4 linked regions of the Elephas maximus indicus genome follow. The protein of the gene in region 1 purifies or fractionates together with the protein of each later gene. This does not show direct contact. Links are inferred from orthologs where the notes say so. Each region holds a gene or a part of one and is shown in the gene's direction. Other genes may lie near its edges. The genes, in order: PSMB7, FBXO7, PSMG3 and PSME3IP1.

The links.
Region 2: the proteins of PSMB7 (region 1) and FBXO7 purify together in Homo sapiens (affinity purification with mass spectrometry; 3 studies listed by BioGRID and IntAct, counting the BioPlex papers as one, with this or other methods). This does not show direct contact. The link is inferred for Elephas maximus indicus from reciprocal best matches to the Homo sapiens genes PSMB7 and FBXO7.
Region 3: the proteins of PSMB7 (region 1) and PSMG3 purify together in Homo sapiens (affinity purification with mass spectrometry; 3 studies listed by BioGRID and IntAct, counting the BioPlex papers as one, with this or other methods). This does not show direct contact. The link is inferred for Elephas maximus indicus from reciprocal best matches to the Homo sapiens genes PSMB7 and PSMG3.
Region 4: the proteins of PSMB7 (region 1) and PSME3IP1 purify together in Homo sapiens (co-immunoprecipitation; 3 studies listed by BioGRID and IntAct, with this or other methods). This does not show direct contact. The link is inferred for Elephas maximus indicus from reciprocal best matches to the Homo sapiens genes PSMB7 and PSME3IP1.

Annotation. Positions count from the first base shown.
Region 1 is NC_064827.1:75,453,207-75,460,613, reverse strand, and holds the start of PSMB7 (proteasome subunit beta type-7), read left to right. Parts: upstream 1-4,407; 5' UTR 4,408-4,452; coding exon 4,453-4,514; intron 4,515-4,932; coding exon 4,933-5,026; intron 5,027-7,270; coding exon 7,271-7,368; intron 7,369-7,407. UniProt on the Homo sapiens protein: Component of the 20S core proteasome complex involved in the proteolytic degradation of most intracellular proteins. This complex plays numerous essential roles within the cell by associating with different regulatory particles.
Region 2 is NC_064822.1:175,190,469-175,198,094, forward strand, and holds the start of FBXO7 (F-box only protein 7), read left to right. Parts: upstream 1-4,607; 5' UTR 4,608-4,850; coding exon 4,851-4,972; intron 4,973-5,252; exon of another isoform or gene 5,253-5,330; coding exon of another isoform or gene 5,331-5,367; intron 5,368-7,626. UniProt on the Homo sapiens protein: Substrate recognition component of a SCF (SKP1-CUL1-F-box protein) E3 ubiquitin-protein ligase complex which mediates the ubiquitination and subsequent proteasomal degradation of target proteins and plays a role in several biological processes such as cell cycle, cell proliferation, or maintenance of chromosome stability.
Region 3 is NC_064830.1:95,893,865-95,901,220, reverse strand, and holds the start of PSMG3 (proteasome assembly chaperone 3), read left to right. Parts: upstream 1-4,347; 5' UTR 4,348-4,426; intron 4,427-6,129; 5' UTR 6,130-6,163; coding exon 6,164-6,379; intron 6,380-6,994; coding exon 6,995-7,147; 3' UTR 7,148-7,356. UniProt on the Homo sapiens protein: Chaperone protein which promotes assembly of the 20S proteasome. May cooperate with PSMG1-PSMG2 heterodimers to orchestrate the correct assembly of proteasomes.
Region 4 is NC_064839.1:24,134,098-24,141,759, reverse strand, and holds the start of PSME3IP1 (PSME3-interacting protein), read left to right. Parts: upstream 1-4,654; 5' UTR 4,655-4,743; intron 4,744-4,761; exon of another isoform or gene 4,762-4,897; intron 4,898-4,956; exon of another isoform or gene 4,957-4,979; intron 4,980-7,662. UniProt on the Homo sapiens protein: Promotes the association of the proteasome activator complex subunit PSME3 with the 20S proteasome and regulates its activity.

The DNA of each region.
Region 1 (7,407 bases):
TCTTCTCCCTGGAATTGTGAGCTCAAGAGAGGAGGAACTACCTCTGATTCATCTTTGTGTCTATTCCCCAAAGGCTGAACCCAGAGCAGCAGTAAGAGGGTTTGATGAACGCTGTGGAGGCAGTCACTCATTCTACAATTATCAGGGCATGTCAAATTATGACCCCTCCTTCCTAGATTCTGTGGTGTCAAGTATCTCTTATCGGCAAGTGGACTTATTTAGAGCAGGTCCCAAATCTTTTTACTCTTTTTTTTTTTTTTTGCCCTCACCAAAGTAGAAAGTTGGTTACACAGGAGGTAGACAAACTTTTCCAATAGTAGATTTTCATCACGGCAGCTGGAAAAGGCTTTATTGTCCTCATTCCCCACAAAAGACCCAGAATGGTAATGAAAGGGAATTCAACCTCTGACAAATATTTGTTGAACGCGTAATGGTGACAGGTCCCAGGCACCTGCAGTGCTATTTGTTCATTTGTACCTAGAACTATGCCTGACACATAGTGGGTGCTCAATAAATATTTTTTGAGTAAATAAATTCATCCCACAGTCACTGAGGCTGTCATTTACTTGCTATGTAAATTTGTGCAAGTCACTTCACTTCAATGAGCCTCAATTTCCATCAGTAAAATTGGTTGGATTATATACCTTCCTCTTTGGGTTATTGACAAAATGAAATGACTGTTTCAATAACTAATTTTCAAGCAGCTGTTATGCACTAGGATAGGTGTGTTATATGTATAATCAAATCCCACTGCAGCCTTTCGAGAAAATTGAGATAAAATTCAAATAACATAAAATTCACCACTTTAACCATTTTAAAGTGTACAATCAGCGGTTTTTAGTATATTCACAATATTCTGCAAACATCACAACTACCTAATTCCAGAACATTCTCATCACTCTAAAAAGAAACTCTTTACCCATTAAATAGCCACTCCCCATTTTGCCCTCCTTCTAGCCTCCGGAAACCACTAATTTACTTTCTGTCTCCAAAGACTTGCTTATTAAGGACATTTCATATAAAAGGAACCACACAATACGTGGCCTTTTGTGTCTGGCTTCTTTCACTTAGCATAATCTTCTCAAGGTTCATCCATGTGATAGCACGTATCAGTACCTAATTCTTTTTTAGGGCTGAAATAATAAATAGTCTATTGAATGGACATACCACACTTTATCATTTCATGAGCTGATGGACATTTGGGTTGTTTTCACTATTTGGAGATTATGAATAATGCTGCCATGAATGTTTGTGTACAAGTTTTTGTGTGAACATATGTGTTATGCATGGAATTATGTCCCCCTAAAATGTGTGTCAACTTGGCTAGGCCATGAGCCTCAGTATTGTTTCGTCGTCCTCCATTTTGTGACCTGATCTAATTACCTATGTGTCGTAGATCCTAACCTCTCTGATGTTACTGATTCAGGGTTAGAGGCAGTTATATTAATGAGGTAGGACACAATCTACAGGATCAGCTTGTATCTTGAGTCAATCTCTTTTGAGACATAAAAGAGGGAATTGAGCAGAGAGAAGAGGGAACCTCATTACCACCAAACAAGAGCCAGGAGCAGAGGTGGTGCTTTGGACCTGGGGTCCCTGGGCTGAGAAACTCCTAGACCAGGGGAAGATTGATGACAAGGACCTTCCCCCAGGGCTGACAGAGAGAGAAAGCCTTGCCCTGGAGCTGACACCCTGAGTTAGGACTTCTAGCCTCCTATACTGTGAGAGAATAAATTTGTTTGTTAAAGCCATCCATCTGTGGGATTTCTGTTATAGCAGCACTAGATAACTAAGACAATATGCTTTCAATTCTTTTGGGTATATACCTAGGAATCGAATTGCTGGGTCATATGTTAAGTTTGTATTTAACTTTTTGAGGAATTACCACATTGTTTTCCAGAGCACTTGCACCACTTTACATTCCCACAAACAATGTATGAGGGTTCCAATTCCGCCACGTCATGGGTAACACTAGTTTTTTTTTTGTATTATAGCCATTCTAATTGAAAACCCTGTGGAAGACAGTTCTATTCTGAAGCACATGGGGTCACCATGAGTCAGAATCAACTCTACAGCAATGGGTTGGTTTTTCCAGTTAGCATGTGAACGATGAAGGAAGCATTAAAAGAAGATAGAAGGAATATCCAGAGTCACTACACCAAAAAGAATTGGTTGACGTTCAACCATTTCAGGCGGGAGCATATGATCAAGAAATGATGACACTGAAGAAAGAAGTCCAAACTGCGCTGAAGGCATTGGTGAAAAACAAGGCTCCAGGAATTGATGGAATATCAACTGAGATGTTTCAACAAATGGATGTAACGCTGGAAGTACCCACTCATCTATGCCAAGAAATTTGGCACTAAATGGAAGAGATCTGTATTTGTGCCCAATCTAAAGAAAGGTGAGCCAACAGAATGTAGAAATTATTGAACAATATCATTAATGTAACACACAAGTAAAATTTTTGCTGTGGATAATTAAAAAAATGGTTGCAGCAGTACATTGAAAGGAACTGCCAGAAATTCAAGCTGGATTCAGAAGGGGATGTGGAATGGGTGATATCATTGCTGATGTCAGAAGGATCCTGGCTGAAAGCAGAGAATACTAGAAAGATGTTTACCTGTGTTTTATTGACTATGCAAAGGCATTCGATTGTGTGGATAATAACAAATTATGAATAAGATGTCGAAGAATGGGAATTCCAGAACACTTAATTGTGCTCATGAGGAACCTGTGCATAGAAAAAGAGGCAGTCGTTTGAACAGAACAAGGGGATATTGTGTGGTTTAAAATCAGGAAAGGTGTGCATCAGGGTTGTATCCTTTCACTATACTTATTCAATCTGTATGCTAAGCAAATAATCCAAGAAGCTGGACTGTATGAAGAAGAATGCGGCATTAGGTCTGAAGGAAGAGTCATTAACAACCTTTGATATGCAGATGTAACAACCTTGCTTGCTGAAAGTGTAAAGGACTTGAAGTGCTTACTGATGAAAATCAAAGATTTTCTGTATGGATTACACCTCAACATAAAGAAAACAAAAATCCTCACTACTGGACCAATAAGCAATATCCTGATAAATGGAGAAAGTATACAAGTTGTCAAGGATTTCATTTTACTTGGATCCACAATCAACCCCCATTGAAGCAGCAGTCAAGAAATCAAACGATGTATTGCATTGGGGAAATTGGCTACAAAAGACCTCTTTAAAGTGTTAAAAGCAAAGATGTCACTTTGAGGACTAAGGCACACCTGACCCAAGTCATGTTATTTTCAATTGCATCTTACACATGTGAAAGCTGGAGGATGAATGACGAAGGAATAATTGACGCCTTTGAATTATGGTGTTGGCAAAGTATATTGAATAGACCATTGGGCCTGCTGGTGCCGTGGTTAAGAGCTAGGCTGCTAACCAAAAGACTGGCAGTTGGTTTCCACCAGCTGCTCCTAGGAAACCCTATGGGGCAGTTCTACTTTGTCTTATAGAGTCCCTATTAGTCAGAATCGACTCCATGGCAACGTTTTTTTTTTTTTTGCTTAAAGAATGAACAAATCTATCTTGGAAGAAGTACAGCCAGAATGCTGCTTGGAATCAAGGATGGTGAGTTTTCCTCTCATGCACTTTGGATATGGTATCAGGAAGGACTAGTCCCTGGAGAAGAAGGACATCATGATTGGCAAAGTAGAGGGTCAACGCAAAAGGAAGACCCTCGTGAGATGGACTGACACAGTGGCTACATCAATGGGCTCAAACACAGCAATGATTTTGAGGATGGTGCAGAGCTGGCCGGTGCTTTCTTCAGTCGCTATGAGTCAGGGCCAACTGGACAGCACCTAAGAACGACATGTGTAAAGTGGCATTTCACTGTGGTTTTGATTTGTGTTTCCCTGATAACTAAGGATGTCCAGCATCTTTTTATGTGCTTATTGGCCATTTCACAAGAGTCTTTTGAGGTAGGTGTCATCTCCATTTTACAGCGGAAGAAACAAGAGAGTGGAGCTGACTTGCTCAATGCAAGGAGGTAGTGGGACTGGGCCTGGAGCCTGGTTGTGTCTGTCTCTGAAGCCCATGCCCTTCCTTTCCTCTGCTCCCCGCTCCCAAAAAAAAAAAAAAACCCAAATCCATTGACGTCTTATCAAATCCGGCTCAGCCCAGCGGAGCTAAATTAACGATAAAAACAAGTCTGGTCTGGGCGGCTGGGGACTGGTCTCTGGTCTGTTCATCTTGTTCAAGTCCTTCTCCCGCTCCGGGAATAAGGGTCTCCTCCCCGCCACTGGGGGCGATATATCGCAAATATCTCCGGGCTTGTCTAGGAATTAATAACGCTAAGATAATTGTCCTTGCTCTGAGTTGACCCGCCTGTTAAGCCCGAGTCGCCTGCGGCGCCGGAAGTACTCGGCTCTTTTTGTTTGTCCCCGCCCTCGGCCCGGAAGTGCTTACTCGGGAAGATGGCGGCTGTGTCGGTGTATGAGCGACCGGTTGGAGGTTTCTCTTTTGATAACTGCCGAAGGTGCGGCCTTTGCGGGTCGGGGTCCGGGGCGGACGTGGGAGTACGGTGCCCCGGTCGGAGCTTTCCCGCGGCCTGATCTGGAAAGACCGAGTGTGCGGGAGACTACGGGGCCTGCGGCTCGCGGCTCGGGTGACTCAGGGCAACCTGGGCCTCAGCGTGGGTTTCTGTTGAGGCCGGATTAGCCCTCACACCTCTCCAGCTCCCACGGACACCGTCTCCTTAGACGAATCGCGGCCATTCTTTGAGGCGGTTTTCTTAAAAAAAAAAAAAGAACAATATCCCTGATATTGGGAGGATTCAGTGAACAGATGGGCGAGAAAGAGTTTTTCTATTCCTGAGTTAACTATTAAGTACTTTTCTTGCCATTGCGGCTCAGTGTCGTCCTGCCCTTAAGCATTTTTTTCTTTTTTGCACTTAGGAATGCCTTCTTAGAAGCCGAATTTGCAAAGAAAGGTTACAAGCTTCCAGCAGCCCGGAAAACTGGCACGACCATTGCGGGAGTGGTCTATAAGGTAACCTGGAGTAGAAATGACTGGATTGATAACAGGATATAGATCTCTCCTTGCTGGATCAGGAAGGGCTGATGTTACAGAGTACATCAGGAAAAGGCCCTTTAGGAGCGATTGCTTTTGTCGCTAGATTATGTGCGTTTGTTAACACTTCATATTCTTTTCATTCTTTGCAGAGTCATTGACAGGAGAGCAATTTACTTTTTTAAAATAATTTAAAAAAATTCAGTTGTTAAGATATATACAGCAGAACATACACCAATTCGATAATTTCTGCATGCACAATTCGTTGACGTTAATTGCATTCTTCCCTTTGTGCAACCATTCTTACCCTTCTTTTCCGAGTTGTTCCCTCTTTCATTAACATAAACTCACTTCCCCCTAAGGTTCCTATCTCATCTTTTGAGTTGCTGTTGTCAGTTTTATCCCATATGGCTGGATCTTAAAAGAGCACAATGCTCAAGGCAGACATTCTTTACTAGTTAAGCTAAATTACTGTTTGGTTTTAAGAAGACTTCAGGGGATATTTTTGGTTTAAGATTTAATGTTTAAAGATTACCTCAGGACAATAGTTTCAGGGGATCATCCAGCCTCCATGGCTCCAGGAAGTCTGGATTCTGTGAGTTGGTACCATTTTAATCCCAATACCTTTCTTCACATGAGACCAGTGTGAACCTGACATGAAATATTTTAGAACACTAAGTTATAGGATTGTGTTTCAGTTACCATTTGCTCCCACTGCCAGAATAGTACCTGACAGATAGTAGGTATTCATTAAAAATTGATTGACCAGTCAGGGGTCAGGTTTCATCTGAAACCTGTACATGTGTATATACACACAGGTTGTACTGTAAATCCCAAGCAGTCATGAAACTGTTAGGGCTAAGGACTATACTCTCTGATCCAGTTGGGTTGCATACAAAAAGACATTTTACAAAGTGTTGGTAATGGAAAGCCATTATTATTTATAGAAGGAAAAAAACAACAGAAACAGATTACTTATAGAAAGCAAACAGTAAAGAACAGCAATAGATTAGAGGTGAACTGGTCCCCTCCACCACCACAAGTACCCCTGCTTAGCATCATAGAAGAGGAACCTGCTTACCCTTCTCAGATTACTCATGTCCATTTCTGTGTCACTGGGCAAGCACGCCATGGATCAGGAGTCACCAGGTGTGTTTCTTTCAGCAGGTGTGTTGTCACTTCAGGTCAGGTGCAGTGTGGCTTTTTTTGGTTGTGTCTGGCCCCCTGTGCTTACTGGTCCACCTCTCAACCAGCAGCTTTGGGACAACCGTGGGCCAGTGACATCACTGGGCGGGGGGGGGGAGGTACAAGGGATGCAGACTGTACTCAGTGACAGTGTTAGAGGGGGTGACACCAAAATGTCTGTAAATTTTTTGTGCAGTGTTTCAGTAGAAATTTATTTTTTTTAGTAAAAATATTCCTGTGGTTGTAACAACAAAAATATTTTTTCATAAACCCAGCTTACATGTATCAGTATACCTACAAGGCTAAAACTCTATGCTAATTTACTTTTTGAACATTATAATGTGCTCCGTCAGAGCTGTCTTTTTACCCAGTTACAGTGCCGCTTCAAATCATGTGGTTTCGTCTGCACAGGCTACAAGCACGCCCTGTTGTCTTTTTTGTTTGCTTGCTTTTTTGTTTTAAGTTAACTGCTGTAGGAGGCAGGATGATATAATGGGAGAACCGAAGATTTGGCGTCAGACATTTATTCATTGAGCTTCTGTGCTGCTTCCAACCTTGGTTGGGCCACTTCTCACAGCCACCCTTTCCTCATCCAGCAAATGGAGATAATAACTCCTGCCTTAAATTGTTGTAAGGGTCAAGAGATAATGATTACTGTTGTTGAAGGTAAAGAATGACTTATTTAAAAAAAATTGACAGAGATGTCTCTTTTATTGGAAGGATTTCTGGATCTTAATCCAGGCTTTTCCAAGATTAGCTTTGTGATTTATAAGAAATCACTGAATCTCTGAGCCCCATTTTTAAAATCTGAAAATGGGGATGGCGGTTCCTACCACCTACTCAGGATTCAACTAATAAGGTTTATTAATGAGCCTTTTCTTGAACTCTGAAAGTGTGGCACAGTATTTTTGGTAGGAGATTTACCGGGGGGTGTGGGGTTGGGGGAGCAGGAGATGGCTAACGTTGTTTTCCCTAAGCTAGAGAGCTGTGGTTTATATATCTAAAATTATTTCTAAACTTTTTTTTTCCCTCCAATAGGATGGCATAGTTCTTGGAGCAGATACAAGGGCAACTGAAGGAATGGTTGTTGCTGACAAGAACTGTTCAAAAATACACTTCATATCTCCTAACATTTAGTAAGTATTGGTTAGTGTGAATAGCTTGTGTATTTTCAA
Region 2 (7,626 bases), on another chromosome or scaffold:
GTTGACATGTTGTGGGGTTGGCAACCAATGTCACAAAACAGTATGTGTACTGTTTATTTAGAAAGCAGTTTGCTCTATATGGAAACCCTGGTGGTGTAGTGGTTAAGTGCTACGACTGCTAACCAAAAGGTTGGCAGTTCAAATCTGCCATGTGCTCCTTGGAAACTCTCTGGGGCAGTTCTACTCTGTCCTATAGGGTCGCTATGAGTCAGAATCGACTCAGTGGCAATGGGTTTGGTTTTTGCTCTATAAACCTTCATCTGAAGTACATATATATATATTAAAAAAAGAACGGCCATTTTCCAGAGCTATAAAGTCTAAATGAAATTATGTGAAAAGCATCCCACATAGTGCTTGGCAAGGAAGCTTTCACGAAACCTTTTATAAGTGGTCCTAGAAAAACTGGGGCTCAGTCTGTTAACAGCTGCTATTGCTGTTTGAAGTAGCAGCTGACAACAGGAACAGGTGATTAAGCACAGGTTTTGACCGAACTGATGGGGTTTCTAAATTGAAAATAATTTAAACATTTTATCACAATCTACTGTGTTATGGGTTACTGTTTTGTCCATCACTTTGTGAACTTCTCACGGTGGGCCTTGAGTCTAGAAAATGAGTAAGTCAGATGTCCAAATTTCATACTGCTGAGTCTCACTGCTTGGGAAGTTAAGGAGTGAATCTCAGCCCATCACCCCTTATAGAGTTTATCTGTTGTGTATGTTGTCCTTTCACATAAGCTCTAGATGATTAATTTCCTTCGCACAAAGTCCTAAGAACCATTGGGTTCATTCATTAATTCTTTCCTTCATTTAGAACGCATTTATTGAGCATCTTCCAAGCCCAGATGCTGTCTCAGGGCTGAGATTCAGTCTCCAATCTCAGGCACCTACAATGTATTGAGTAGCAAGTAATCCCAACAATTACAACACAGCGTTCTCAATAGCCCATAAGTCTTCAGCTCTGTAACTTACTGCTACCCTGAATATGCATGCCATTTAACCTTTCCCCACCTTTGTATACTCTTCTCTCTCTATTGCTCAATCCTGCTTTTGTTAAGCTTGGGAAATTCCTAGTTATACTTTAAAATGCAGTTTAAGTGTCACTCCCAGTTAATCAACTCCATATCATGTACATACTCCTGCTGTTAGCACTTATCACATGCACCACAAATGTTTATTTATTTATATTTATTTATGGCATAATATGTACAGGTGTCCGATTCAAAATGGCCAATACCAGTCCATCCCAGTTCACTAATGCCTAGAATATCGATGTTTATGCGTTCCATTTCATTCATCGTCAAAAAGAACATTTCAAGATCTATCCTGAAGTACAATGCTGTCAGTGATAGGATAATATCCATACACCTACAAGGAAGACCCGTTCACAGGACTGTTATTCAAATATACGCACCAACCACTAGAGACAAAGATGAAGAAATAGAAGATTTTTATCAGCTGCTGCAGTCTGAAATTGATCGAACATGCAATCAAGATGCATTGATAATTACTGGTGATTTTAATGCGAAAGTTGGAAACAAAGAAGGAGGATCAGTAGTTGGAAAATATGGCCTTGAGGACAGAAATGATGCTGGAGATTGAATGACAGAATTTTGCAAGACCAACAACTTCTTCATTGCAAATACCTTCTTTCACCAACATAAACGGCGACTGTACACATGGACCTTGCCAGATGGAACACACAGAAATCAAAATGACTACATCTGTGGAAAGAGACGATGAAAAAGCTCAATATCGTCAGTCAGAACAAGGCTGGGGCCGACTGTGGAACAGACCATCAATTGCTCATATGCAAGTTCAAGCTGAAACTAAAGAAAATCAGAGCAAGTCCACGATAGGCAAAATACGACTTTGAGTATATCCCACCTGAATTTAGAGACCATCTGAAGAATTGATTTGATGCACTGAACAACTGTGACTGAGGACCAGACAAGTTGTGGAATGACATCAAGGAAATTATACATGAAGAAAGCTACAGGTCATTGAGAAGATAGGAAAGAAAGAAAAGACCAAGGCGGATGTCAGAGGAGACTCTGAAACTTGCTCTTGAATGTTGAGCAGCTAAAGCAAAAGGAAGAAGTGATGAAGTAAAAGAACTGAACAGAAGATTTCAAAGGGTGGCTTGAGAAGACAAAGTAAAGTATTATAATAACGTGTGCAAAGAGCTGGAAATGGAAAACCGAAAGGGAAGAACACGCTCGGTGTTTCTCAAGCTGAAAGAACTGAAGAAGAAATTCAAGCCTTGAGTTGCAATAGTGAAGGATTCCATGGGGAAAATATTAAACGACATGGGAAGCATCAAAAGAAGATGGAAGGAATACACAGAGTCATTATACCAAAAAGAATTAGTCGATGTTCAACCATTTCAAGAGGTAGCACATGATCAGGAACTGATGGTACTGAAGGAAGAAGTCCAAGCTGCTCTGAAGGCATTGGTGAAAAACAAGGCTCCAGGAATTGATGGAATATCAGTTGAGATGTTTCAACAAACAGATGCAGCGCTGGAGGTGGCCACTCGTCTATACCAAGAAATATGGAAGACAGCTTCCTGGCCAACTGACTGGAACAGATCCATATTTATGCCTATTCCCAAGAAAGGTGATCCAACTGAATGTGGAAATTATAGAACAATATCATTAATATCCCAGGCAAGCAAAATTTTTTGCTGAAGATCATTCAAAAGCAGCTGTAGCAGTATATCGACAGGGAACTGCCAGAAATTGAGGCCAGTTTCAGAAGAGGACGTGGAACCAGGGATGTCATTGCTGATGTCAGATGGATCCTGGCTGAAAGCAGAGAATACCAGAAGGATGCTTACTTGTGTTTTATTGACTATGCAAAGGCATTCGATTGTGTGGATCATAACAAATTATGGATAACATTGCGACAAATGGGAATTCCAGAACACTTAATTGTGCTCATGAGGAACCTTTACTTAGATCAAGAGGCAGTTGTTGGGACAGAAAAAGGGGATACTGATTGGTTTAAAGTCAGGAAGGGTGTGCGTCAGGGTTGTATTCTTTCACCAGACCTATTTAATCTGTATGCTGAGCAAATAATCCGAGAAGCTGGACTATATGAAGAACAGGGCATCAGGATTGGAGGAAGACTCACTAACAACCTGAGTTATGCAGATGACACAACCTTGCTTGCTGAAAGTGAAGAGGACTTGAAGCACTTACTGATGAAGATCAAAGACCACAGCCTTCAGTATGAATTACACCTCAACATAAAGAAAACAAAAACCCTCACAACTGCACCAATGAACAACATCATGATAAACGGAGAAAAGGTTGAAGTTGTCAAGGATTTCATTTTACTTGGATCCACAATCAACAGCCATGGAAGCAGAAGTCAAGAAATCAAAAGACACATTGCATTGGGTAAATCTGCTGCAAAGGACCTCTTTAAAGTGTTGACGAGCAAAAATGTCACCTTGAAGACTAAGGTGGGCCTGACCCAAGCCATGGTATTTTCATATCGCATCATATGCATGTGAAAGCTGGACAATGAATAAGGAAGACCAAGAACTGATGCCTTTGAATTGTGGTGTTGGCGAAGAATATTGAATATACCATGGACTGTCAGGAGAACGAACAAAGCTGTCCTGGAAGAAGTGCGGCCAGAATGCTCCTTAGAGGCAAGGATGGCGAGACTGCGTCTTACATACTTTGGACATGTTGTCAGGAGGGATCAGTCCCTGGAGAAGGACATCATGCTTGGCAAAGTACAGGGTCAGCGGAAAAGAGGAGACTCTCAACGAGGTGGACTGACACAGTGGCTGCAACAATGGGCTCAAGGATAACAAGGATTGTAAGGATGGTGCAGGACTGGGCAGTGTTTCGTTCTGTTGTGCACAGGGGTCGCTATGAGTCGGAATCGACTCCAGGGCACCTACAAACAACAACAACAACGTACGCGTGGTGAACAAGATAGACTTGATCCTTGATCTTACAGGCAGGAGCTTCGCCTGTGGTAGGCGAACAATTAGTAACTGTTACAATAACAATTAGTTAATTTTCAATTAAAAAGAAAAATTCAGATTTTGATGAACTCTAAGAAGGAAACTGCGTGATGTAACACAGTAACTGGGGAGACCAATTATGACAATACTCAGTGGTTTGCCATACATTATTCCCCTTAATTCTTTTTGAACACAGCCCTGCGGAAGCACAAAAGGAGGAAGTTACCGGAGCCGGGGTTCAATCTAAGGGCTTCTCAGAGCAGGTGCCACTAGAACTGGGCGTTGATGAAGGAACAGTCGTTCGCCACGCAGGAAATGGGTAAGAACTAGGTACCCATAAGCCATGGGGCGTGGTGAGTTGTACGGTCCGCAGCATCCCTTTCAGCAATAACGTTCTTCCCAGCACACCTTTCAGACGTCAGAAAGCAGCCTCTGCGGAAGAGCCGGGGTACCAGCGCACCCCGACGTCTGGGCGCCTGCGCAGCGCGCTCCTCCTTCCGCGCCGTCAGCTTGGACCGCGGCGCCCGGGCGGCCCGGAAGCCGCGCGCTCCCAGGTAGCGGCGTAGCGCGCCGAGTCATCGATCGGAAGGTCCTTTGCAGCTGGGCTCGGCGCTGGTCGCCAGCTGCTCGCTCTGCGGGTCGGCTCTAGGGGGCGCCCTTATAGGAGGGACAGAGCGCCCTTGTTTTAGGGACTAGCGAGCTAGGCCTAGGCCGCCGTGGCGGCGACTTTTACCCGTTACACATCAGCACTTTAACAACACCGGTAGTTGTCGCTCCTGGGTCTCCGCTTGAGGCGGGAGCTGCTGGGCCCCGCCGTCGCCACTGTCGCCGCCCCCGGGTCCGAGCCCCTGGGTACCCCCGCCGCGGCCATGAAGCTTCGGGTCCGGCTTCAGAAGCGGACCTGGCCGCTGGAGATGTCGGAAGCGGAGCCGACGCTGGGGCAGCTGCGCGCGCATCTGGGCCAGGCCTTGTTGCCCACTTGGGGGTACAGGTACGCGGGGGCGGCTGGGGGTGCAGCCCGGCCGCGGGCGTTGGGGGTGTACGGTAGGAGAAGTGAGGGTGTAAGTCGGGTGTTTGCGTGCGACTGTGCGCTCTCGGGAGCGTGGGTCCCCATGTGGGGCGCCGTGAGGTTGGGGTCGCCTGTTGGCACCGGCGTCACTGAGCGCTCCGCCAGGGTGCAGAGACGCCCCGGGCGTCACGTGAGGGCTCTGCGTTCTGGGGGCGTCGCCGTTCGGGAGCGCTTCTGGGGCTGGAACTAGGGCGGGCTCGGGGCCAGTGTCCGGGTGGCGCGTCGGGTTGGGAGTGGGGAGCTGCGGCTGCTTTTGCGGTTGTCCCAGCTGCGAGGACCCATGGCGCAGCGTCCCGGGGGCTCCGATCCCCCGCAGGGTAAGTAACCGACTCCGATTTTATGGCAAACGAAACCACGGATAGGATAGCACGCAGAACTCACAGGATTTTTAAATTTAAAGTTGGAACTGATGAGCTTGGCATGGCTTAAACATTTCCAGACTCTAGGGGTTTAAGTTCACTTTCTGCACCTGTTCAATATTTCAGTGAAAGGTTTGGGAATACTAGAAGTTACAAACCTGCTCTCCACCCGAAGCCACCCTTAACTGGTGCGGCTGCTGTCAGGCTGCAGTCATTTTAAGACTACCTTGAGTTTCTGTGCCAGGCCCCTTGGTGAGCACTTGCACTTACCTCGCTGCAAATTTTCACAAAGTACACTCTGTAGAGGTGCTTGACATCATTGTATTGTCCTGGGCAATAAAGTGTTAAAACTTAGGGCCTTATAATGACCCTGGGGAACTTGGCAGTGTTAGGACAGTGAAGTTGAGAGGTAAAGCGTTAAATTCTGTTAATTTATGGGGCTACTGATGAGGCTGTTTTGTTTCCATAGAAGGTGTTTTCTGGGACAATAATCTGGGAATAGAGGACAAAATAAAGGTGATTCTTTTCAAATATTGAGGTAATGAACTTGAAATTTGAGCTAAGACAAAATAAAGTCGTTCCCTGGGGGACGTTTTAGGTGAATTTTTCAAGAGACAACCTTGTTAATTGAAATGGTTCCTTTCATAAGACTGTTGTAAGCTTCCAATTTGTTTTTAGGGAGTTCCGTAAAGTGGGGCCATATTATGATCTTCTCACTCTTCCCTTTTTAAGGTTAAGACATTATTACATTAAAAGTAAGCATGTTTTCCTCCCAATTTTTTTTTTTTAAAAAGAGGTATGAACATAATTTCTCTTCAGTTATGTGCCCATCATTATTTTCTTTGCCTTAAACCTAAGTGTTTTGCTTACTGCCCTCATTTCAAAATTAACTTCTTTTCAAGGCATTTTCATATGTATATATATTTTTATTATTAGTTTTTAATTAGGCAGGATAATCTTAAAAGAATGTGAAACCCAATATGACTTGTTTGCCCCAATATGACTCTTATTTGCCAAGAGCTGAAGTTCATTTCTCTTTCAGGTTTGTTTTTTACAGTGGAGGCTGATTTACAGAAAGGAATTTAAGTTGCACCTTACAAAAGTGAATTCATCCTTCTGAAAGTCTGTTCATTTTCTAGTAAATGGGTAGTTTTAAAAGGTGTACATAGCACATTGTTATTTTAAAGTGTCTTTACTGAGCGAGTGGATTTGGGATTGTCATAAAAGTATTTTGAAAAAGCTTGGGAGTTTCTAGGATTTCATTTTTTGATGAACTTAAAATTTAAGTTCAGAAAACAGAACAGTTTCAGAAAACAACCCTTTTAAACCCTCTTCCTAGAAAACTGCATTTTTTGTTTTAGAAATAGCTCTTCCCTTTTTTAAAGGGTGAAGAGGCCGATGTTCTTTATTAAGCAGACAGTTCTTTGCCTTTTCTACAAATAGATATTTGTACTTGATACTGTTAAAAAAAAAAAAAACCTTTTGCTGTGACAAATGATCCAGAAACAAATATAGTTCACTTGAGATGTTTTTCCTTTTTCTGCCAAAGCTGGGATGGTGTTTTTTGGGCAGCTGGCAGAGTTTCAACATTTTATCAAAAACACTTTGAAAACAGAAGCAGAGCTACTTTTTTTTTGAGAAGCAGGGGTCGTTTCTATTTCAGTAATTTCTCTACCAAAGACTTTTTAATTGGTGAGAAAAAAATGTACTTACAGTCAAAAGGAAAACAAATGAATTGTTTTGAGCACTTTGGAAAGTGCAGCATTGTAAATAAGAAAATACAATGTGATTGTCAAAGGACTTTATCCTTTGTTAATGTCTCAAAAAGTTAATGAAATCAGCATTCCTGAGTGTAAATGGTCTTACAAAACCTTTTACAATGGTTTTGTTAATTCCTCACCACCCTGTGATGAAAAGATGGTTATCCTTACAAAGTCAGATAATCTGTGATGCAGAAACAATGCAAATGCGTTGCCTAAGGTTTATTTGAGCTCTTAATTGGTTTAGCAGTGAGTTTTTGGTTTTCTGCTGTCTTCTGTATAAAAGACAACACGTTCTCAGTAGGAGGGTTGCAACTTGTCATCATCTGGTCGAGGGGATACATTTGTACTCTGTCAACTACATACGCTCGTCTAACTTTTATGGTTATGAATATGCATGAAGGACATGGGTCTAGGTTTTGGAACCAAAGTATGCTAGCTGTCCTGCATGGACGTC
Region 3 (7,356 bases), on another chromosome or scaffold:
AAAAAAAAAATTTTTTTTTAATCTAAGTGGTGTCTAAAAAATGAAGAGACAAGGAGACGGAAGAAGGACAGATACGGTATAAGGGTGGATTATTTCGTATTATAGAATAAAATTCTCAGCAGGCAGGAATAGCTACAAGTCCAGCCTGAGCAATTGTGTGCAAACTTAACTGTTTGCCTGTGGATCTTTCTGTAGGTCTTTCTCCACCTTGGCAACTCTGCAAGCAAGAACTGATAGACTTGGTGGGAGGTGGGCTCCATTTTTTATACTCAGTCTGTCTTAGTTTCCTAGGGCTATCATAACAAAGTACCACAGACTGGTTGGCTTAAAACCACAGAAATTTATTGCGTCTCAGTCCTGGAGGCCAGAAGTCCAAAGTTTAGGTGTCGGCAGGGCTGTGCTCTCTCTGAAAGCTCTAAGGGAGAATCCTTCTTTGTCTCTTCCAATTTCCAGTGGTTCCTGGTGATTCTTGGTGTTCCTTAGCTTGTAGATGCATCTTCGCGTGGCCATCCTGCCAAACAGTTGGAGGTTTGAGTCTACCCAGAGGTGCCTTGGAAGAAAGGTTGGTGACCTATTTTAAAGAAATCAATCACTGAAAACCCTGTAGAATGTAGCTCTATTCTGACACACGTGGGGTTATCATGAGTCGGAGTTGACAGCAACTGGTGCTAATATCTCAGGCCTACACCAATGTAATCTCCAACTGTCTCTTAACCTGCTCTGTTTCAGAGCCTGGCTGAGAGAAGTGAGAATGATTCCCATTTATATAAATAAAGTCTTTTCTACCTATTACTGTATCACAACAAAATTTAGAGGGAAATGTTGGGAAGGTCTGACTTAAACAAAGGCCATGCACCCACAAGACTGTTACTAGGGCAGACTCGGGGGCCCTCCTAGAGATCCTGGAGGTCGCCGTCCCAGCAGCTTGGAGAGAAGCTCCTGTGGGTCCTAGGAAGTTCAGACCACGCGGATCAAGAGCACAAAACAGCACCTTGAGGGTGAGTCCCTCCAAGTTGTGAGGGTTGATTTATTTGTACTCAAGCTGCTCTTCATCTGCCATAGAGCAGCAGGATTTCATTCATTTAAGGAAGAGTTGGCTAATAATAAATTTCATAGCTAAGTTTATGATATTCTAGCATGAATCCCTGTACACGGGCCACCTCATTTATCCCTATGTGGAAGGGAAAATTGTTATCTCCATTTTTAGAGCAAATTTTACTTCTTTTCTGATCTGGATACCTCTTTTTTCTTTTTCTTCTCATATTGCTCTGGATAGGACTTCTAATACAATGTTGAATAGAAGGGGTGAGAGCGAGTACCCTTGTCTTGTGCCCAATTTCAAGGGGAAAGCTCTCAATCTTTCTCCATTAAGTATAACATTGGCTATTGGTTTTTCATATATACCTGAATCATATTGAGGAACTTGCCTTCTATTTCAATCTTCCTGAGGATTTTCATCAAGAAAGGAGGCATTATCTCCATTTTTAAACTGAGAAACGGGTTGAGAGGGCAAGTTGCCCCAAGTCACAGAACTGGTAAAGGCCAAAGAGGTCGTCTCTGAAACCCAAAGTCTTAAACATCCCAAAAGTGTCATACCCAGGAGATCCTCACGATCCAAAGATTCAGTTATCTGAGTCCCCATAGTTATGAGACTTCGGAGGAACATAGAAATCCCCGATACAAAATTTTCACTGATGAACCCAGCACTTACGTACTTAGGCGCCACTCAAACATCTCTCCTGGTGTAGCTCCAGAATTTTTCCCCACCCACGTTGAAAGAACTGGACATGGTGGTGTGATGGGGTGGGAGTACAATGCAAATCAGTCGCAAAGATGCAAGATTTCAGGAAGCCAGTGAATACGTTGTTGGGGAATGATGAGATGGAGCCCAGGGCCACTGGTGATTACGGGCCGGTTGGCAATGCTAGACGGGCGGGCAACTGACACCAAGGAAACTGACAAGGCTAATGACAGGATGCATGTCAACAAGAAATGATCTGAACGTCAATGGATTAAGAGAGGCTGTTGAGAAAATTGATGGTGCCCTAGTACAGTTTAGCAAAACCAATCCTCTTTATAGGATGGAGCTGGGAAAATCACACACATTGTGAAGAAGAGCGTATTGAGCTATTGCACAATTTTTTGAAAAACTATGATTCCTCCACCCCAAATCAACACTTGATTTATTCTTTGTTGGCTATATAAATGAAAACAACTGCATTCATACCCTAAAATTTATTGAGTTAAGATAAAATCAAGATATTTTCCCTTTTTTCCTTCATTTTTCATGATAAACTCTCAAGGAAACTCTTTTCCTCCACAATTTACCCTATTACAATTTGGTTCCCATCTTAATTGAATTTGGTGAAGGCATCGTTCCTTCTGGCCCAATTACCCTCTTGCACTGGAGAACAGTCTAACAGCAGAAAAATTTCCTCATCCATTCTTCAAAGTATTTAAATCCTGCCTACGTATCAGTTTTTTTTTTTTTTACGTTATCAGTTTAGGTCACCAGGAAGCCACCTCCCTGAACCACCGTCACCTGAGTCTAGGACAGCCTTCCCATCTTCCGTATCTCTCAAATTCAGTCTTGTTCAAAGATCTAGACAAAAGCAGCAGAATGACAAGCCTTTGAGTATTTGCTTAATAGTGCCATCAAAGTGTCATAAAGGTGATGTTTATTTTAGAGTTGTACATTTGTTTTTGTCAGGTTTCTCGTGTATATTTGCCTATTGAGAAAACGCACAAATAGGTGAATAAACGTGAGTGGACCTCTTGAGGGTTTCACACTGGCAAAGCAATACACTGGCAATTTGCTTCTGGGGTGTGTGTGGGTGGATGTGTGTTTAAATTTAGAACCAACAAGAACTTACACTTTTCTGAGAAATTGATATGCTTCTTCCTTTCTGATTATTGGAACCATGAAATCATCATCTTTCCCTTTGTGTACAGACTGTAAGGAAGCTCAAAAACAAGTATCTTCTTGATTTTTATGTCTGTCAATAATGTTCTGTACGCGTGCCTTTTATTTTAGGCCACCAGACATCATTTTTAAGAGGGCACGCTTCATTTGACTTGACTTGGATTGGACAAGGACATTAAATTGTAAAACAAGGGTGTAAAGGCATTAGGGATGCCACAGCTCCCTAGGGAATTGTGTGGGGTACGCAGGCTTTGATGGGAGGCAAATACAGCCATGACAGAGCTGTCAGGAAAGAGAAAGACTTCTGAGCATGGTGTTCTGGAGTATTAATCCCCTAAGGGTCCCAAGGCTCGAATCCCTCTCAAACCTTGCCTTACCCTGCCAATAAAACCTCCAGCTTGGAGAAACAGATGATAAAGCAGTTGGGGTGGGGGCGGGGGGGCAGGAATTACTTTCAGGGATCCTTGGGAGGAACCAGAAATCATCCTGTTAGGGGGGTAGCAATGTCCCTCCCTCCATTCATTCTACTCCTTCACCTGGGCACTCACATGAGGAGCAGCAACTAAGCGTAAGGGTTTGAAGCCTAGGGCCACCTCTTATCAGAGCCTTGGGCAAGCTCTCTCTGAACTTGAACCTGTCTGTAAAAAGGGGATAAAAGTACCAGTAGAGTGGATTCTGACTCATGGCATCCCCATGCGTATCAGAGTAGAGATGTGCTCCATAGGGTTTTCAAGGGCTGATTTCTAAGAAGTAGATGGCCAGGGCTTTCTTCCGAGGTGCCTCTGGGTGGACTCAAATCTCCAACCACTTGGTTAACAGCCATTTGCTACTTTAATGGAGTTGTTAAGATTAAATGAATTAATATACACAGGGCACTCAGAACAGTGCCTGGCACATAAAAGTGCCAAATAAGCATCCGTTATTATTTCCACCGCGGTGGACACAGGTTACCCCAAACGAGATTTTGAGGCATGGGGCGCCGGCACAATCTGGAGAGGCTAAAAGTGTCTTTGTTACTGCGGGGCAGAAGCTCTCTGGGCTGTTACGAGGGCCCTGGAGAAGCCCTCCCAAGGGCCTGAGCCCCGGCCGAGGACACCGCGACCCGAGACCAGAGCGGGGCTGGGTCCCGAGGATGCCCTTCTAGAGAAATCGAAGAGCCCTTCACGAGGGCAAGGAGCTGAGCAGCCTACGCTCGGGACTTGAGGCCCCCGTAGCCCTTCCCTAACGCCCCCAGCTCCTGGTCTAAAGCACCGAGCAGAGATCTTCATGAAGAACGCAAACAACGCTCCCGAAAGACCCGAACGGCTCACGACTCAGCCACCGGAAGCCCCACCCTGCACTTCCGGCGGAGGCGGTGGGAGGAGATGGGCGGGCCCGTGAGTGGGCCGGGGGGCGGGAGCGGAGGGCGGGCCGGCGGGTGGGCGGGGCGCGCCAGGCGGAGGCGGGCCCTCGTCGCACACGCTGAGCCACTTCCGGGCGCGGTGCGGGAGCCGGTGAGCTCAGGTGGCGCAGCGGGTGGAGGTCCGGGGCGGTGTCCGGCGGGTTGGCAGGCGACCCCGAGGGCCCTGGGGAGGGTGGGGGTGCCCTGCGGCCCCCTATCTTGTCGTAGTCCGAGGCGAGATCCCTCCCTGGTCTTCCGGCCCCTAGTCTGAGTCTCCAGCCCTGTTTCTCGCCGCCCCTGGACCCGCATCCCTGTATTGTTTGTTTCTGGACACCAGCCCCCGGGTCCCTATCCCTGCATCTCCTTCTTCACCTCAGTCTCCCCCTGCCCTTTATCTTTTTGTGTCTCTCCGTGCCTAGCTCTTGGGTCTCTGCCTGCCCCTCCATGCCTCTGCCCCTCCTTGTCCTTGAATATGGGTGTCAATAATTCCATTTGGGACCAGTGATGTCCCCAAAAGCAGATAAAGTGAGAATTCAGTCTACAGACTAGCAGAAAAGCGGGGGTTCTGGTCTCGGCTGTTGAGCACCTGGGTGCTTTGCTTGCAGGTATCAAGGATATGAGGGAAATCCCCCCTTGCCTTGATTTAAATTAGTGCCATTAGGATCAGCGGGAAGTCATAAAAGTAATACATACCAGCGGGAGGCTGGAAGTGGGCGGGAAACGCTGTGCTCAGGGAGGAAGTGAGATCACCTGCCTCTAAACATGAAAGCTTTTTGACATTTGCTTCTTTGTGTGGCCTGTGTACATCTACTGATCAACTGATCCACAAAGTTCCATTCCAGTATTTAAAAAAAAAAAAAAGCAGTTGCTGTCAACTCTTTACTCCTGGCTACCCCATGTGCGTCAGAGTAGACCTGTGCTCCATAGAGTTCTCATGGCTGATTGATTGGAAGTGTTGCTCGGGGAGACACTGAGGCACAAGTCAGGTGAAAGCAAAGGAAGGAAAACTATTTGGTTAGCCAAACAAAGGAGATCACTGGGACCTACCTCGCCAAGACGGCTCCCTAATCAGCAGGCATGGGGAGGCAACAAGAATGGGGCAGGCTCTTTTGCAGGGTGTGCTCTGGGGCGTGGTCCATCAGGACTGGAGGATAACCGACCTCATCCGTAGGCGCAGTTGCACTGGGGCGGTGAGGAAGGGGAAATGGCGGCGAGGAAGGAGATATGGCGGCTTCCCTCTGCCCAGCCGCCGTCTGGGTGTTTCCCGCCTCATTCTCTGGCCAGCGGTTTCCCGCCTTGGAAGCAGATCACTAGGCCTTTCTTCCAGGGCACCTTTGGGTAGACTCGAACCCCCCACATTTTGGTTGGCAGCCAAGTACGTTAACTGTTTGCACCACTCAAGGACCTTAATATGTTTATAAGATTATGTATATGGCCATACATATATGTTGTTAAAACCAAAACCCCCAATCCGTTGCTACAGAGTCAGTTCCAACTCGTGGCAGCCTCATGTGTGTCAGAGTACATCTGTGCTCCGTAGTTTTCAGTGGCTAATTTTTCAGAAATAGATCACCAGGCTTTTCTTCTGAGGTCCCTCTGGGTGGACTCACAGAGATGTCCCATATAGGCAGTGGGAGATTTTCAGCTGAGCGGTCAAGTGTGTTAACTGTTCAGCATCCAGTGACTCCAGGTACAATCTATATGGGCAGGCAGCCGCTTGTGTTTCTATTTTAATGCCAAAAGATACGTATTTAGGATTCTGATTCCCAAGGTGTCTCGGGCCCTGTTTGGCTGACTTACTCCTTTTTGTTGTTGTTCTTTCTAGCACTAACTAAAGCTGCCATAGAAGACGCCCAGCCATGGAAGACAAACCGTTGGTGGTCTCGAAACAGAGGAGAGAAGTGTTGTGTGGCGTCCCCACCCAGGTGGTGTGCACGGCCTTCAGCAGCCACATCCTAGTGGTGGTGACGCAGTTTGGGAAGATGGGGACCCTGGTCTCCCTGGAGCCCAGCGAAGTGGCTAGTGACATCAGCAAGCCCATGCTTACCACCAAAGTCCTTCTCGGGCAGGATGAGGTAAAAGGGCTGGGAAAGGCCCAGGGCGGAGGGGGATCCTCTTCTGTGGCTTTCATTTCTCAATGAGCTCTTGGAACAGGTGGAAGGCTAGCCCCCCTACGGTGGCCATGAGTGGGCATTTCTGGGTCTAGGGGTGTCCCACCTGTCCTTGGTGAGTGCTTGTACCAGCCCGTTAGAATCTTACCCAGCAGGCAAGGATTGATTCTGTAGTATGTGCCTCCTCCTGGTTTGACTCTGTCATGATAGACACTGTTAATGAGTGGCTGTTCATGCTCTGTCCTGGAAAGATTGTCTGTGAACTGGAACAGAGGACCCCTCTCCAGACCTGTCCTTCTGAGTCTTTGGAGGTTAGATACAGCGAGCAGAGACAGGGGACTCAGAAGAGGGCACCAAGGAAGTGAGCTTAGTGACACCTCTTTAGTGGTTTGTTTACAACTGGTGTATTCTGAGCGTTGCGTTGAACTCTGAATCACAGTGGCATCAGATTTAACGCTTGGTGATGTAATGGTGGTGTGGGAAGCCCATCTGGGCTCCTAAGGGCTACTTAGGGAAGGCACTAAGGAAAAAAACCAGCTCTTTGCTGCTAAAGTGGTTCCCTCCCCTTCCCTCCACCAGCCTCTCATCCACGTCTTTGCAAAGAACCTGGTGACGTTCGTGTCTCAAGAAGCTGGGAACAAAGCAGTTCTCCTGGCCGTGGCTGTGAAGGACAGGAGCATGGAGGGGGTGAAAGCCTTGCGGGAGGTGATTCGGACATGCCAGGTATGGTGAGGGGGCCCATACGGCCCGACCACCCTCCTGCTCACCAAGATCAAGGGAAGACGCAGGCCCCCTCACAATGGTTGGAAGACATCTTCAGCCACAACCAGGAGCCCTTGAAGCCAGAAACAATACTCAGGTGTCGGGCAGGCTCCACTTTGCTTGGTCACCGATATCAGCCTTGGGAGGGGAAAGGAGTGGAACATGGCTGGGGGCTTGTG
Region 4 (7,662 bases), on another chromosome or scaffold:
GGTTTTGTTTTTTGTATATATACCAGTATTAGCAAAAGGGAATGGAGAATTTATATTTGTACTGCAACACATTCATGTCTTAACTTATAAGCCAAAATACTATTGGTCCAAATCTTTCTGCTGACGCAGTGAAAGATGAGGCACCAGTACCGGTTGCCACTGAGTTGATCCTGACTCGTGGCAATCCCATGTGTGTCAGCATAGAAATTGTGCTACGTAGGGTTTCACTGACTGGTTTTTTGGAATTAGATGCCCAGGCCTTGCTTCTGAGGAGCCTCTGGGTGAACTTGAACTGCTAACCTTTCAATTAGCAGCCAAGTGCATTAACTGTCAGCACCACTCAGGAACTCCAGAAAGATTAACCAACCACCTGTAAATCAGACGATGCTGAATAGTAATTTTAATGAAAAAAACAAGAGTAAATGTGGAGTAAAAATGGAAAACCAAGATCAATTTGAGACAATACTGATGATTCACCACAAACTAAGCACTCTTCCTGGATGTTGCAGGAATCCGCACTCTGTAGATGACCTGTGAGGGGCACTGGTGCCAAGCTTCCCAGGACAGATTTCCTGGGAGAAAATGTAATAGAGATGTCAGTAAACTCTAATATTGTGGCAGTTTTGGTTTATGAATGCCATGTTTTAGCAAATCCTTAATGATTCATTTGGTAAGTAGCCCTTAGATGTACAGATATACGAATAACGATAAAGCAATAGGAACTTAAAAAAAAAGAAGCTGCATTTCCCATGAAGAGGGGTGGGGTAGGAACCATACTTTGAGAACCACTGCATGAAGGGACTACAGGGGCGGAAGCTTAACTCTTGGGGACTGGCGGGAGGGGTGGGAGGAAGAAAAAACTAACAATGAAAAACAAAACTAAGAGGTAATAATAAACTTCCTAAGTATTTCAAAACTTTTATTCGAGGTATAGAGGTTTCATGAAATTAAGTCTAGAAACTGTAATTTCTAGCAATAAGAAAGCTACCTGCAGAATTTATTTCTTAACAAATTTAGGGAATCAATTTCTTGCTATCTCACATTATTTATAGTTTTTAAAACCTTGGAAAGGAACAATGTAAAATTTTCTCAAAGTATTTTTACCTGATTTAGTCTTGTATCTGTCACACGGTTATTGCTTTTACATAATAACCAGCAAACATTTCCTTTTGGATTGGGCATTATAGTAATACATAACAAATACGTACTTTTTTGTTAATCATAAAGGTTGGCCAGAAAATGATTTCAAAAACTGACTTCCTGAATAAATAAACCAAAGGGGAAATATTTATTCTTTCACACCTTAAAGTTGTAAGAGTCTTCTCCTAAGTGTTGTGGCTCAAGTTTTGGCATTCATTTCTTTGGCATTCACTTGACTATTCTGTTTTTCAATCATCTAATTTGAATATGGGGGTATGGGGAACGACCCTAATTCAATGGTAAATGCCTTCAAAATGCCAAAAGCCTGAAGAAAAGCTAAGTCAAATAACTCTTTTGAAGTAGATTATTGCTTGCACTGTGGTTCCCATCTATGGTGCCTATTGACCTTCCACTTACTTTTGCAACTCGGTGACTATGAGATCCTACTTTAAAAGGACCCCACCACAAAACACAGAAAATTTCCAATTTGAAGTAGTATAATACTGATTACCATTTCAAAAAAGTCCTAATAATTTCTCCAACTATATAAATATTAGAATGTCAAAGAAAGTTAAAGATGGCAAAGTGACTTCTCACTTCATTATAACAAATTACTTCATTATTTGGGAAAGCATACACAATTCTTGGTAGGCTGAATTAAGCTCATTCAGTTGAAAGAGACTGTTGTAAACGCACAACAATAATTTTTTTGTTAAGCTCTTGCGAAAATATACTTCAGAGTTGTTTTTTCCTGTTCACGATAGAATAACATTATTACACAAGATGCTAAGTTCTTATTTTCCCTTAAATACTTGGCCAATTTACTTAATGAGAAGTTATCTTGCTGACGAAGTAGAAAAAGCCCACATAGAGTATGCTGGAACACTTCCTATAATCAATACCTTAAAAATAATCACAGGGAACTGAAATAATGAGTTTGTGAAACCAGCAAAAAAGCAGGGCACAAAAAGACACTAGATCAGTAGGTCGGGGATAACATGTATCCTGAGAAATCAGAAAGCTATCAAAATCACCCCAATGATTTTTTTTTTAAGGACCATGGAATATAAGACTAGAAAAATGATAAATGCAGGTCAGTTTTTTGCTAAAAAACCAAAGCAACTATTAAAACAAAAAATCACTAAATAAATTAGCCAATATTTGAAAAGCCAGCCCTAACAAATGCCACTAACCAAACATTAAGGGAATGTCATATATGGAAACAAGTATCTTGTAACCTCGTCGAGGGATCCACAAAGCAAGATGTCATCCCGGGAAATGCAAACTCTACACAAGGTGGAAAAACGAAGTAAAGAGAACCATTGTGGAAGAGATATAAGATCGATTGCCAATGTCCTCGTAATCTATGGTATGGGGCTACCACAGCAAGGCATGATACTCATGGAGAAAAAAAGATGGTCTCAGTCACAAAATCACAATTGAGGAAGGCAGCATGATAATCACTATCCGTAGACATCCAAAGACCATGAATATAGAAGAGAGAAGGGATAAGGTTTATGATATTGAGATCAAATTACCTAGAGGAAAATCTCAACTGTCAGGGAAAAACTGACTGAAGGAAAAGATTTATTACAGTGCCAACTCCTGCCAGCACCATCAGACAGGCAAAGTAAATTAAAACTCTGAGAACTGGAAATCCCTCCACTCCCATCTAAACAGAGGCTGAAATCATGGGTTTAGATTATAATATAGCCTAACGAGCTGCAAACCTTAAAGTTTTCAGTACAATATGGCTCCCCACTACTCCATAGGTGATCAGTAACAACTGTATTAATACTGATCTATTACATCCATCCTATATACTGCTTTACAGTTAAGAAAGTGCCTTCATTTTATTCCCAACAGCAACCCGTTTGGTGGTGGAACCACAATACCTTGCTTCCATACAGCCTGTAGCTCATATTTTCACGCACTGCATATTTTACAAAGAGACTCAAAAAGATTGAGAGTAAGTCACTTGTATAAGGACAGCAAATGGTAGGTGAGGGGCCTGGAAAACGACAGGACTCTACTCAGCCTGGAAACCCTGGTGGTGCAGTGATTAAAAGCTACAGTTGCTAACCAAAAGGTCGGCAGTTCAAATCCACCTTGGAAACTCTATAGGGCAGCTCTACCGTCTCCTATAGGGTCGCTATGAGTCGGAAACGACTTGACGGTAACGGGTTTGGTTTTGGTTTTCTACTCAGTCAATAATAAACACTTCCGACCCTTAGAAGTTCGAAGTACAACACTGCAGGGGGAGCAACCTCAGACAGGGACACCACTGTCCACAGAGTCTCAGCAGACCGTCTCTGCCTGTCTCCCTCATCAAAGACAGGGAAACTGAGCCAAAGGGGAAGATTTGTTTAGTCCAAATCAGACAGAGGGTGCTGGCGGGATGGGTTCCCCGCACTAAGCCCAGAACCAGCTGAATCTTCTATCTGGGACACTTGGTCGGTCTTCCAGAGAGAGGGAAGGTACCCTTCCCACTCCTGCTTCTCTCCTACCCAGGCTTTCCTATGGGAGGGAGGGGGGGAAGGAGGCTCCACTTCCCAGAAGCTCCCGGAAACCCCCCCACCCCAACGCCCTTCCCCAATTTTTAACTCGGGCCACCGGAGTAGAAGAATCCGTTAGCCCTGGCTCCCGCCTCCTTGCCCCTCTCTCTGAGGTGTCTCTAGACCTCAAGCCATTTCGAAGTCTCCCTGGGGGAGGTCTGTCTCCCAACTGTACCCCCTAAAACACGAACTCCACAAAAGAGAACCCTCCCAAATCTACCTCTTCCGACCCAGACACCCCAACGGGGCGTCCCTCAGTCCCAAGAGTCTCCCCAGAAGCTACCTGCCTCTCACCTGGGTCCCTTTAACCGCGGCCTCCTCAGAAGAGCGACCCCCAAGAACCTCCTCCGGTAAAGATCCCCCAAAGGGGGAACACCCTTTTGCAGGAATGTCTTCAGGCGCCCTCAGCGCGGGCCTTGGCGGAGAACCTCCGGGCTGTTTCCCGGGCTCTGCCCAAAGCTACCTCCTCCCAGGTCCCTTCCCGGAGCCTCCCCCGGCCCAAGTCCGGCCACCCCGCCCGAGGTTTGGCCGGCTGTTCCCGTCCCTCACGAACGTCCCCAGCCCTCGGACTGTCCCCCCGCTCCGCGTCCCCAGGGGCTTGCCGGAGCAGCGCGGCCGGGCTGCGGCACTGACTTTCTCCAGCTCCCGGGCCCACCGGGGGGAGGGGGCGGCGGCGGCGCGACTCCTTTGTGACAGGTCCCAGAGAGCGATAAAGATGGACGCGAGGCCAAGGCGCTGCCATTACGCACTGGGCCCACCCCCGCCTCGCACCGCCCCGGCCCTCCCTCAGTCCCCTAGGAAACGCCCCTTCCTCGGTGGCAGGCCCTCTCCATCATAGCCAATCATCTTTCAGGGATTAAGTCACGTGAGGATACTGCCCTGTCCGCCCCCCAGGCGTGAGCTGGCCAATCCGCTTGTCGAAGTGTGAGTGGTCCAATCAAGTCCCCCGACTCGTTTCGGGGCCAGCGGATTTCCATCTGTCTCTCGCGGAGGAAGAGAGCTGCGGATTGGGCTACGCTGCCGGAAGCGGGGCGGAACTTTGTTGTAGGTGAGGAAGAGGAAGCCCTGAAGGGTCAAAAAAAATACAAAAGCAAAGGCTATTTTCTTTTTCTTTTTTTTTTTTAAACAGCGAGCGGCCTTTGCGGTGGCGGTTTGGGGTGGGCGCTGCTGAGGTGAGAGTCTCGCCTCCCGCGTGTGGGTAGGTGAGTGTGGCCTGGGCCCCCTCCAGGCAACTAAACCTGGGCTCGAGTTTCTTCGCTGAGGAGACGGGATGTTGCGGCTGAGGTTAGGATTAGGGCCAGGCCTGTGCCCCCAGTGCGCTCGGCTAGCCCTGTGTCCTGAGTCCTCGAGGTCGGGGGCCTGCTGAGTCCAGTCTGAGAAGGCGTCTGGCTCGTGTAGGGAGGCTCCCCGACCCTTAGAGATGAGTCCGGGATCCCGGGCCACTTGCGGCTCCCCTCCACCTTTGCTGCTAGATGGGGCCATCCAGTCCCCAGTGGGAAGCGGGCTTTGCTCCCGAGGGCTTGGAACCGCTCCAGGCTGCTCAGGAGATGTGGGGACGCCTGGTTGGAAATGATTGAATCACAGAATGGACGTTCAGGATGGGCAGCATATTTCTTATATACCATGTGCCAGTTGCTGTGCGAAGTGCATTTTCTAGTAGAAAACAAACCAGCGTGCCCGTTTTGCCGATGAGGAAATGAAGGCTGAGAGTTGGAGCGGGTCGTTTGAGGCCCCCTGTGAGCTTGGTGGCGACGGGAATGTCAGTCCTCGCCAGGAAAGGGGGAGACCTATTCGTTCATAAAGTGGTTCTTAAAACTTTAGTTGAAAGCGGTCGTCTACAGCTCTTAAAATGCAGTTTCTCGGGCCCGACTCCCAGATACTCTGACTGAGTAGGTCTGGAGTGAGACCCCCGAAAGCCAAGTTCGGACCTGGTGGTCAGAATTCCCAACTACCCCTTGTGTACCAACCGGTTGCGTGGTAAGATTTGCTGACTGTGGCTTTTTGATTAATTGGTGTCTAACAAGGACGTAATAAACTGGCTTGGAGAGCGCTGCTTCTGAGATTCTTGAGAGGAAGTATGAGCGTGTAGACTTCTTTTGATACAGGGCAATCAGCTGAGTTGAAGGCATCTGGTAAAGGCTTTCAAATGGAGCCTGAGATGAGCTGTTAATAACTTGTAAGGGTCAGAAAGCAGAGGCTGCCTGAGTCTCTCAACTGAAGTCTTGATGCCTTTACCCTGTGGGGAAATTAATTCTTCATGGTTGTAAGAAAGGAAGAATTATGTGAAAATCATTTAAGTGGTTAGCAACCTTCACTTTCACCTTCTAAGAATCTTTATGTTTGGTTAGGGTCAAATTGCTGCTTCAGAAATTGAGAACCAAGTATCTGGTAAATGAAGTAATTTAAGAGCATGGTTCAGCCGTAGCCTCGGGTGAATTAAGCAATTTCAGTGTGTTCTCATGATTGAATACCTTTGTCTTCATTCTTAAATATAATCTGTTTAACTCCTTACTGTAGGATGTGTTTTTAAGATTTTTTTTTTTGTGTCTTTATTTTTGGTTTTCTGCATTTTCCATTTTGGTGTATTCAGGTGTGAATTTTTTTTTACTCAATTCGGTATTGTTAATTGCCATCAAGTGATTCCAACTCAAATGATTCCATGTGTTCGAGCAGAATTATGATCCATAGGGCTTTTCAAGGCTGTGACCTTTCAGAAGTATATCACCAGGCCTGTCTCCTGAGGTGCAGAGTGGGTTTGAACAGCCAAACTCTCTGCAAGTAGTTGAGCTCTTAACAGTTTGCACTACCCAGGGACTCCATTAAAAACAAGCAAACAAACAAAAAGAGAAACCAAGCCTGTTGCCGGCCAGTGGATTCCAGTTCATAGTGACCCTATAGGACAGAGGAGAACTGCCCCATAGGGTTTCCAAGGAGTGGCTGGTGGATTTCAACTGCTGACCTTTTGGTTAGCAGCTGATCTCTTAACCACTGTGCCACCATGGCTCCATGGACTCGGTTAGGCTTCTTGAATTTGTGGGTTAGTGCCTGATGAGTTCTGGAAAAATGCTAAGAGTATTCTCTGTTAGTGATTGTCATTCTCTGAAGAAGTTTTATACTCTAGGAAAAGTCAACTTGATCTAAATTGCCGTAGCTTGGTAGAAGTGCCTTTTGGCCAGAAAGTCTTTATTTGGAATATAGTTGAGTTTGCCAGATAGCAGATTCCTGCATTTTGAAATCCCATGTGACTTGAACATCAGGTTGAAAACATTGGAAGAGAACTGCCTTTTACTGACAAACCAAACCAAACCCAGTGCTGTCGAGTCGATTCCGACTCATAGCGACCCTATAGGACAGAGTAGAACTGCCCCATAGAGTTTCCAAGGAGCGCCTGGTGGATTTGAACTGCCAACCTTTTGGTTAGCAGCCGTAGCACTTAACCACTATGCTGCCAGGGTTTCCTTTACTGACAAAAGTAAAGTTAATTGGGCTGTTGTTTTTGGTACCCAAAGTGAAGCCTTATAAAACTGTTAACACAGAGATCTGATTGCCCCTGGTATATTTTTACATGTACAATCTGTATAATTTTAGAATTAGGCATATATGGTGGACAGTGATGTAAACACTTCGTAAGTAGTCTGCCGTCACAAAATTCAATTCCATAGGAAGCCAGATCTCATTAACTTGTGTCATGGCAGTAGCTAAATGGAATAGTTTTTCAAGTCAGGGATTGTAATGTAAGATTTGTATTTTAAAATGTGTGTAGCATGCTATGTCAGAAAGACACCGAGCCCATGTTGTCCCGCCAACCTGGAAATTAAATACCACCGTCTCCAGTACAAACACTAGTGCAGTGTTTAACAGTTACTTTGGTTTGAAATATAAGAACTTTGTTTTCTTGGCTGTCAAGCAAATTTGGAAAACTGTGTTCTTTCTTTGTGCCAGGTTGAAACTCTTAAGTTTGTACAAA